Macaca mulatta: one gene and its partner. The protein of the gene in region 1 interacts with the protein of each later gene in a biochemical or structural test. Links are inferred from orthologs where the notes say so. Each region holds a gene or a part of one and is shown in the gene's direction. Other genes may lie near its edges.

The links.
Region 2: of the proteins of USP33 (region 1) and ARRB2, one has a biochemical effect on the other in vitro, tested with the Homo sapiens proteins (2 studies listed by BioGRID, with this or other methods). The link is inferred for Macaca mulatta from reciprocal best matches to the Homo sapiens genes USP33 and ARRB2.

Annotation. Positions count from the first base shown.
Region 1 is NC_133406.1:162,808,208-162,812,020, forward strand, and holds part of USP33 (ubiquitin carboxyl-terminal hydrolase 33), read left to right. Parts: intron 1-3,024; coding exon 3,025-3,138; intron 3,139-3,813. UniProt on the Homo sapiens protein: Deubiquitinating enzyme involved in various processes such as centrosome duplication, cellular migration and beta-2 adrenergic receptor/ADRB2 recycling.
Region 2 is NC_133421.1:6,246,578-6,250,390, forward strand, and holds part of ARRB2 (beta-arrestin-2), read left to right. Parts: intron 1-61; coding exon 62-121; intron 122-526; coding exon 527-594; intron 595-720; coding exon 721-856; intron 857-1,094; coding exon 1,095-1,179; intron 1,180-1,446; coding exon 1,447-1,519; intron 1,520-2,316; coding exon 2,317-2,454; intron 2,455-3,256; coding exon 3,257-3,340; intron 3,341-3,433; coding exon 3,434-3,513; intron 3,514-3,590; coding exon of another isoform or gene 3,591-3,626; coding exon 3,627-3,681; intron 3,682-3,813. UniProt on the Homo sapiens protein: Functions in regulating agonist-mediated G-protein coupled receptor (GPCR) signaling by mediating both receptor desensitization and resensitization processes.

The DNA of each region.
Region 1 (3,813 bases):
GACTGGTTTCCAACTCCTGGGCTCAAGTGATTCGCTTGCCTCGGCCTCCCAGAGTGCTGGGATTATAGGCATGGGCCACTGCGCTCGGACGTTAAAGAAGAGACATTTAGGCCAGGCGTGGTGGTTCACACCTGTAATCCCAGCACTTTGGGAGACTGAGGCGGGTGGATCACGAGGTCAGGAGTTTGAGACCAATCTGGCCAACATAGTGAAACCCTGTCACTACTAAAAATACAAAAATGTAGCCAGGTGTGGTGGTGTGCACCTGTAATCCCAGCTACTTGGGAGGTTGAGGCAGGAGAATCATGTAAACCCTGGAGGTGGAGGTTGCAGTGAGCCAAAGTCACACCATTGCACTCCAGCCCAGGTGACAGTGTGAGACTCCGTCTCAAAAAAAAAAAAAGAAGAGACATTTACTCTGAAACTTGAGGAATAAGTATGAGCTGGTTGTTTGAAAGGATGGGGAGAGCATTCCTAGCAAAATGCTCCTTGTAAGCAGCCTTGGGATGGGAAAGAGCTTGACACATTTGAGGAACTGGAAGAAAATCTGTGTGACAGGGTACAGTAATCATAGGGCTGAACGACAAGGGTCTAGGTTATGTAGGCCACATTAAAGATGTAGGTCTTTATTCTCATAGTAGTACAATACCATTGAAGTGTTTGTATAGTAGGGTAGCTAATAATCTATATTTTAAAAATATTACTGTGGTTGCCACGTGGACAGTGAATTGGAGGGGGAAGAGAGTGGAATTTGAAAGACCAGCTAGAAGACTATGATAATGATTTAGGCAAGAAGTAGTGGTAGTTTACATCATCTAGGGTGGTAGGAAAAGAGTGAAGGAATTGGAGATAAACATTTTTAGGAGGATGATTGATTGATAGGATGTGGGTAGAGAAAGGGAGAGGAGGTTCAAGTTTAACAACACAATCCTAAGAGACCTGTAGGTTGTTGCTATTGTTATTTTTATACAGATAAGAAAACCAGACACAGAAGTTTAAATAACTTTGCCATTGTAACCAGCTAGTAAGTACTGGCGGAATTCTGGTTTTTTTTTTTTTTTTTTGAGACGGAGTGTCGCTCTGTCGCCAGGCTGGAGTGCAGTGATGTGATCTCAGCTCAGCTTCCTGAGTAGCTGGGACTACAGGCGCCGGCCACCACACCCAGCTAAGTTTTGTATTTTTAGTAGAGATGGGGTTTCACCATGTTAGCCGGGTTGGTCTCGATCTCCTGACCTCATGATTCGCCCGCCTCGGCCTCCCAAAGTGCTAGGATTACAGGCATGAGCCACAGCGCCCGGCCTTTTTTTTTTTTTTTTTTTTTTTTTTTTAAAGTTAGAGACAGGATCTTACTCTGTCACCCAGGCTGGAATGCAGTGGAACGATCATGGCTCACTGCAGCCTTGAACTCCTGGGTTCAAGGGCTCTTCCTGCCTCAGCCTGCCAAGTAGCTAGGACCACAAGTGCATGCCACTGCTCCCAGATAATGTTTTAAAAGTTTTGTAGAGATGGATTTTTGCTGTGTTGCCCAGGCTGGTCTTGAACTCCTGTCCTTGAGTCATGTCCTGCCTTGGCCTCCCAAAGTATTGGAATTACAGGCATGACCCACCATGCCTGGCAGGGACAAAATTCTGAATCTGAGATTTTTATGTGTATGTTTGTTTTTGTAGATCTTTTGTTGATTATTGCACAATACTGCTTCCATGGATTTACTTTGTAATTCCTCTGATTTCATTGAAAAAGATGTGGCTGATATGATTACACTATTGGTGGCTGGGTGTGGTGGCTCATGCCTGTAGCACTTTGGGAGGCTAAGGTGGGAGGATTGCTTGAGCCCAGGAGTTCTGGAACCAGCTTGGGCAACCTAACGAGACCCTGTCTCTACCGAAAAAAAAAAAAAAAAAGGATTACACTTGGCAAAGAGATGGCTTAGTAGTTATCTAACTGCCTTCATAGGGGGTTTGGTTTATGTAGGTCAGAATTTGGTCCTTTGCCCAGTCAGTTTTCTATAAATAGATTAATGGAGATTCCCTCAAGCTAATCAAACTCATGACAGACTATACTTCCTTATAAATTGCTAACTTGAGCCACCAACAAATATTAGTACCAAATAATGGAATGTAGAAGGCTGGAGGAAGTGCAGGTTCAGTTGAAAGTTAAATTTTTATCCTGTTCAGTTTGGGCATTTGATATAAATCTGAAATTTAGATGACATGGTTGACTTTATATAAATTTGATGATGATTAGAATATGGTTGAAAATTTTAGATCGCCCAGGGAAGAAAAGTATGTAGGGAAAAGTCATAGGATCAAGTCCTGAGGAATCCTTACATTTACATGTCTGGGGCCAAAAAGAGCAATAAAGAGGAAAAAGTAATTTTAAGAGGTAAAGAGGGAAAGTTGGAAAATGCATACAATAGTCCAGAGAAGATTTGTTCAAGAATGAGGGCATGGCCGGGCGCGGTGGCTCAAGCCTGTAATCCCAGCACTTTGGGAGGCCGAGACGGGCGGATCACAAGGTCAGGAGATCGAGACCATCCTGGCTAACATGGTGAAACCCCGTCTCTACTAAAAATACAAAAAACTAGCCGGGCGAGGTGGCGGGCGCCTGTAGTCCCAGCTACTCGGGAGGCTGAGGCAGGAGAATGGCGTGAACCCGGGAGGCGGAGCTTGCAGTGAGCTGAGATCCGGCCACTGCACTCCAGCCTGGGCGACAGAGCGAGACTCCGTCTCAAAAAAAAAAAAAAAAAAAAAAAAAAAGAATGAGGGCATGGTCGTCTGTGGCAAATGTTACTGAGTGGGGACTGAAAAGTGTATCTGGCAGCATGGAGGACTCTTGATATGGTGGGGCCAAATCTGATTTGAAAGGACTGAGCTCTTTATGAAGGAATGAAAGTGAAGCTGTAAAAGGGATCAAAGAAAGAAATGACAGCTATAGGGATGTACGTGTTGTCAGTTAATTGAATGACCAGAAATAATCAGTATTAGCTTTGACTCCACTCTAACATTTTTCTCTTTTTAAAATTAGCCCACCTTTGACACAGTTTTTTCTTGATTGTGGAGGATTAGCACGAACAGATAAGAAACCTGCCATTTGTAAAAGTTATCTCAAACTAATGACAGAGCTGTGGCATAAAAGCAGGTATGTAACTTAATATACTTTTCTTTATTAAACTTTTAAATGAATATTATAAATATTTAAAGGATGCAGGTCCATTTATGGAGCCAGAAAAAAGGAGAAGACAGACAGATTTGAGACAGCTTTGTTTCAGGCATGTTACATTTGAAGCTGAATGTAAGGTGTCAGAGAAGTTTTAGAAGCAGATGAAGGTGTCATGAAAGTCTGGAAGTATTTGGACTGGTGATATAGTGTTGGAATGTTAAAGCTGCTGTACAGCTGCTGTTACTGGAACTTTAGAGTTTTATATTCAGGAGTAGGCATTCTCACAATGATAAAATCAGACCCTAAATACTATATGAATATTTTCCTGCTTATGTTTATTTATTCTAAAGTTTAGCATTAGGATCACAGTTTACTGTAATATGTTAATAATTTTGTTTTAGAACTATTTGGGAAATTTGCATTTTTGAAAAGTCATGGGGTGAAGCATAATCATTTAATTGAGGGAGTATAGCAGTAAAATATCACTTAAAATATCAAGGATAAGGTGTTCTGATGTGCCTGTGGAACATATTAGGCAGTTTTGAATGATTTTTTCGAAATGTAATTTTCAATTTATTTAACACTTTGAATTATTGGTTGTTAATTTTTAAAATAAAAATTAAAAATAACAAAAATTACTCTTTAAAAATGTTT
Region 2 (3,813 bases), on another chromosome or scaffold:
TTTGGAGGAAGATCTGGGGGCTTTCTGGAAGGACTCAAGTCTTCTCTTTCCTCTGCCACAGATACCCCAGAATCTTCCATGCTCTGTCACACTGCAGCCAGGACCAGAGGACACAGGGAAGGTATGGGAGGAACAGCTCTGAGGGCTCCCAGGGCAGGACAGGGGCCAGCAGGAGCCTGGAGGCACAGCTGAGCCAGAGGGTGAACTGTCGAGATGCCAGGGTGGGGCCGAGGGTAGGCCAGTGTCTCCGTGGAAGTGGGGTGTGTATGGTGATGCACGCGTGACCCTGCCTTCTGCTCTCTGGACCTGCATGGATCTGGGGATGGGGGCTCCCCTTGCCCCTTGCACTACCATGACCAAGCCTCTGCCAGGTTCGGGGCTTTGGAGAGGAAGACTTGGTCGCCAGGGTCGTGAGACCACAATGGGGCAAGCATCCCTGCCCAAGAGGAGGGAAGGGGGAGGAAGGAAGGGGAGTGATGGTGGCGGGAGCCTTGGGTAAGATGTGGCCTTTTCTCCCCCTCCTGAGGCCTGCGGCGTAGACTTTGAGATTCGAGCCTTCTGTGCTAAATCACTAGAGGAGAAAAGCCACAAAAGGTGAGGGACGCGACCTCCTCTATGATGTAAGAGGAGGCTTTCCAGGAGCCCAGGCCCCGTGCGGGGGAGGAGTAGGGGTCTAGGTGTCTGAGGATTGACCCCCTTCTGCCCCCACCCCCATCCCAGGAACTCTGTGCGACTGGTGATCCGAAAGGTGCAGTTTGCCCCAGAGAAACCCGGCCCCCAGCCTTCAGCAGAAACCACACGCCACTTCCTCATGTCTGACCGGTCCCTGCACCTCGAGGCTTCCCTGGACAAGGAGGTGGGGTGTGAGAGGGTGACGCGGATGCCACGGTGCAGTTTAGACCCAGGGGAGGGGGGGCGAAGCCACACGTCAAGATGACATTTGTAAAGGAGGTTGCCTTGGCTGGATGTGGAGAGTTGCCGTATGCTTGGGTTTGATGGGAGGGGGCCAGAACAATGTGTTGTGTTTGGGGACACACTGATGATGGGACCAGTAAAAACCAGATCCAATTCATATGACCCCCTCCCCCCAAAAGCTGTACTACCATGGGGAGCCCCTCAATGTAAATGTCCACGTCACCAACAACTCCACCAAGACCGTCAAGAAGATCAAAGTCTCTGGTAGGAGGTGGGGTTTGGAAGGGGGTCTTTGGGGAGGGTGTTACTGCACAGGTGGCTCCTGGTGTGATCTCAGCCCAGGCCATTTCCCAGGGCGGGAGACCCACCAGGGCTCAAAGAATTTAGGTTGTTCCAGAATGATACAGGGAGCCTCGGTGTTTACTGCTTCCAGGGGGGAGCATGGAGGGGCCACGCCACGGGGTCTGGAGTTGTGTTGTGGGGGTGGCTTGTGCTCCATCCAGAGCTGCCTGACCCTGTCCCCCCCCACAGTGAGACAGTACGCCGACATCTGCCTCTTCAGCACCGCCCAGTACAAGTGTCCCGTGGCTCAACTCGAACAAGAGTGAGTATCGGGAGAGACCCAGTTCCCAGTCTGGGGGAGAAGAGCAGGATCGGGAGAGTGTGAGGTGGGGGAAGAATTCTTCCTAAGCCATCGCCACTATTTTTTTTTTTTTTTTTTTTTTTTTGAGATGGAATTATTGCTCTTGTTGCCCAGCCTGAAGTGTGATGGGGCAACCTCTGCTCACTGCAACCTCCACCTCCCAGGTTCAGGCGATTATCCTGCCTCAGCCTCCCAAGTAGCTGGGACTACAGGCATGCAACACCATACCTGGCTTATTTTTATTTATTTATTTATTTATTTTTGAGACGGAGTCTCGCTCTGTCGCCCAGGCTGGAGTGCAGTGGTGTGATCTCAGCTCACTGCAAGCTCCGCCTCCCGGGTTCAAGCCATTCTCCTGCCTCAGCCTCCCGAGTAGCTGGGACTATAGGCGCCCGCCACTGCGCCAGGCTAATTTTTTTGTATTTTTAGTAGAGACGGGTTTCACTGTGTTAGCCAGGCTAGTCTTGAACCCCTGACCTCAAGTGACCCACCCGCCATGGCCTCTCAAAGTGCTGGGATTACAGGCGTGAGCCACTGTGACCAACCACCATCTTCACTTAAAAGGGTATTCCCTCTACAACCAGGCACCTCTGGGTTGCTAATTTTCTTGAGCACGTTGAGCCACAACCTACTCCCTTGTGACCTGTGCCCAAAGAGAGAAGGGACTGGTGAAGGGGAGATGCTGCTTGGGGGTGATAGGCCGCCCCTCGCCCAGTCCAGCCCCTTGAAGCGTCTTGTTCTCTTGTTCCCACCCCCAGTGACCAGGTATCTCCCAGCTCCACGTTCTGTAAGGTGTACACCATCACCCCGCTGCTCAGTGACAACCGGGAGAAGCGGGGTCTCGCCCTGGATGGGAAACTCAAACACGAGGACACCAACCTGGCTTCCAGCACCATGTGAGGGTGGGGCTGGGGCGGGTCCCCCACAGGCCAGGGGCCAGACGTCAGTTGAGTGCTAACTATGTGCCAGGCCCTATCCTAGGTGCCAGGGAGGTACAGTGAACAGAAGAGACAAAAAGAACTCTTACATTCTAGGAGAGGGAGGCTAGACAAATCCGATCAGTGGTCACTGTACGGCAGGTTTAGTGACAAGTATGAAGGAGAAAAAGCCAGGCAGAGAAGGGAGGGATGGGGCGCAGTGAGATGCAAAGGTGAATTGGGAGTAAGGACCCAGCGGAAGTAAGCAACATGGGTGAGCAGGAAAGGACAGTTCTGGGCAGAGAAAAAACAAAGACTCAGAGGTGGGGCAGCCTGGAGTGTTGGAGGAATGGGGAGGTGCCATCGTGCCCTCGGGCAGGAGCAGCCCTGGAGGTCCTCAGCTTCACAAAGGGCTGGATTTCACCTTCCCCGGTGCCTTTGTTCAGGGTTCTCACTGCACAGCCACATACAACAGGCCCGGAAGGCAACTTATCAAGAACTAAGTAGCAGGAGAGGAGGAGGAGGTGAGGTCAGGGGCTAATGGAGAGCCAGACGGTGCAGTGCTGTTAGCGGAGAAGGACAGCTTTTACGGGAGAGAAACCACAGGAGGCTCTGCACGGGGAGTGCAGCGCGCACTGTACCGTAACCGCACGCCCGGGCTGCTGGGGCCCCGCGGGCCTGTGCGAGTTTGTGGTCCTGCCCAGAGGCCCCATGGGAACCCCACGGTGGGCCAGGTGACAGGGGGATGGGCCCTGGTCTGACTCCACCACCGCAATTGCAGCGTGAAGGAGGGTGCCAACAAGGAGGTGCTGGGAATCCTGGTGTCCTACAGGGTCAAGGTGAAGCTGGTGGTGTCTCGAGGCGGGTGAGTGTCATGGGGGGTCCTGGGTGGGGGTCACACTGGCTCTCGATGGTCCTGTGTTGTCATCCTCTTCACGATCCCTCTCCCCTTCCCCAGGGATGTGTCTGTGGAGCTGCCTTTTGTTCTTATGCACCCCAAGCCCCGCGACCACACCCCCCTCCCCAGACCCCAGTCAGGTGAGCACACCGCCCACCCCAAGCCCTCAGAGGGAGGGCCTGAAGCAGGGCCAGTGGAGGAAAACTGGCCCTTCCAGCACCCACCCCCACACCCCCTCTTCCCATCCCCCCAGCCGCTCCGGAGACAGACGTCCCCGTGGACACCAACCTCATTGAATTTGATACCAAGTAAGAAACTCATTCCCCTACGTCACCCTCTTGGGACAAAGATTCCTGCCACATTCAAATCTGCCCTCATACCTCTTCCTCGCTTTCTGGGGGGAGAAGGGGATTGCGGCGTCAAATCAAGATGCTTAGCCT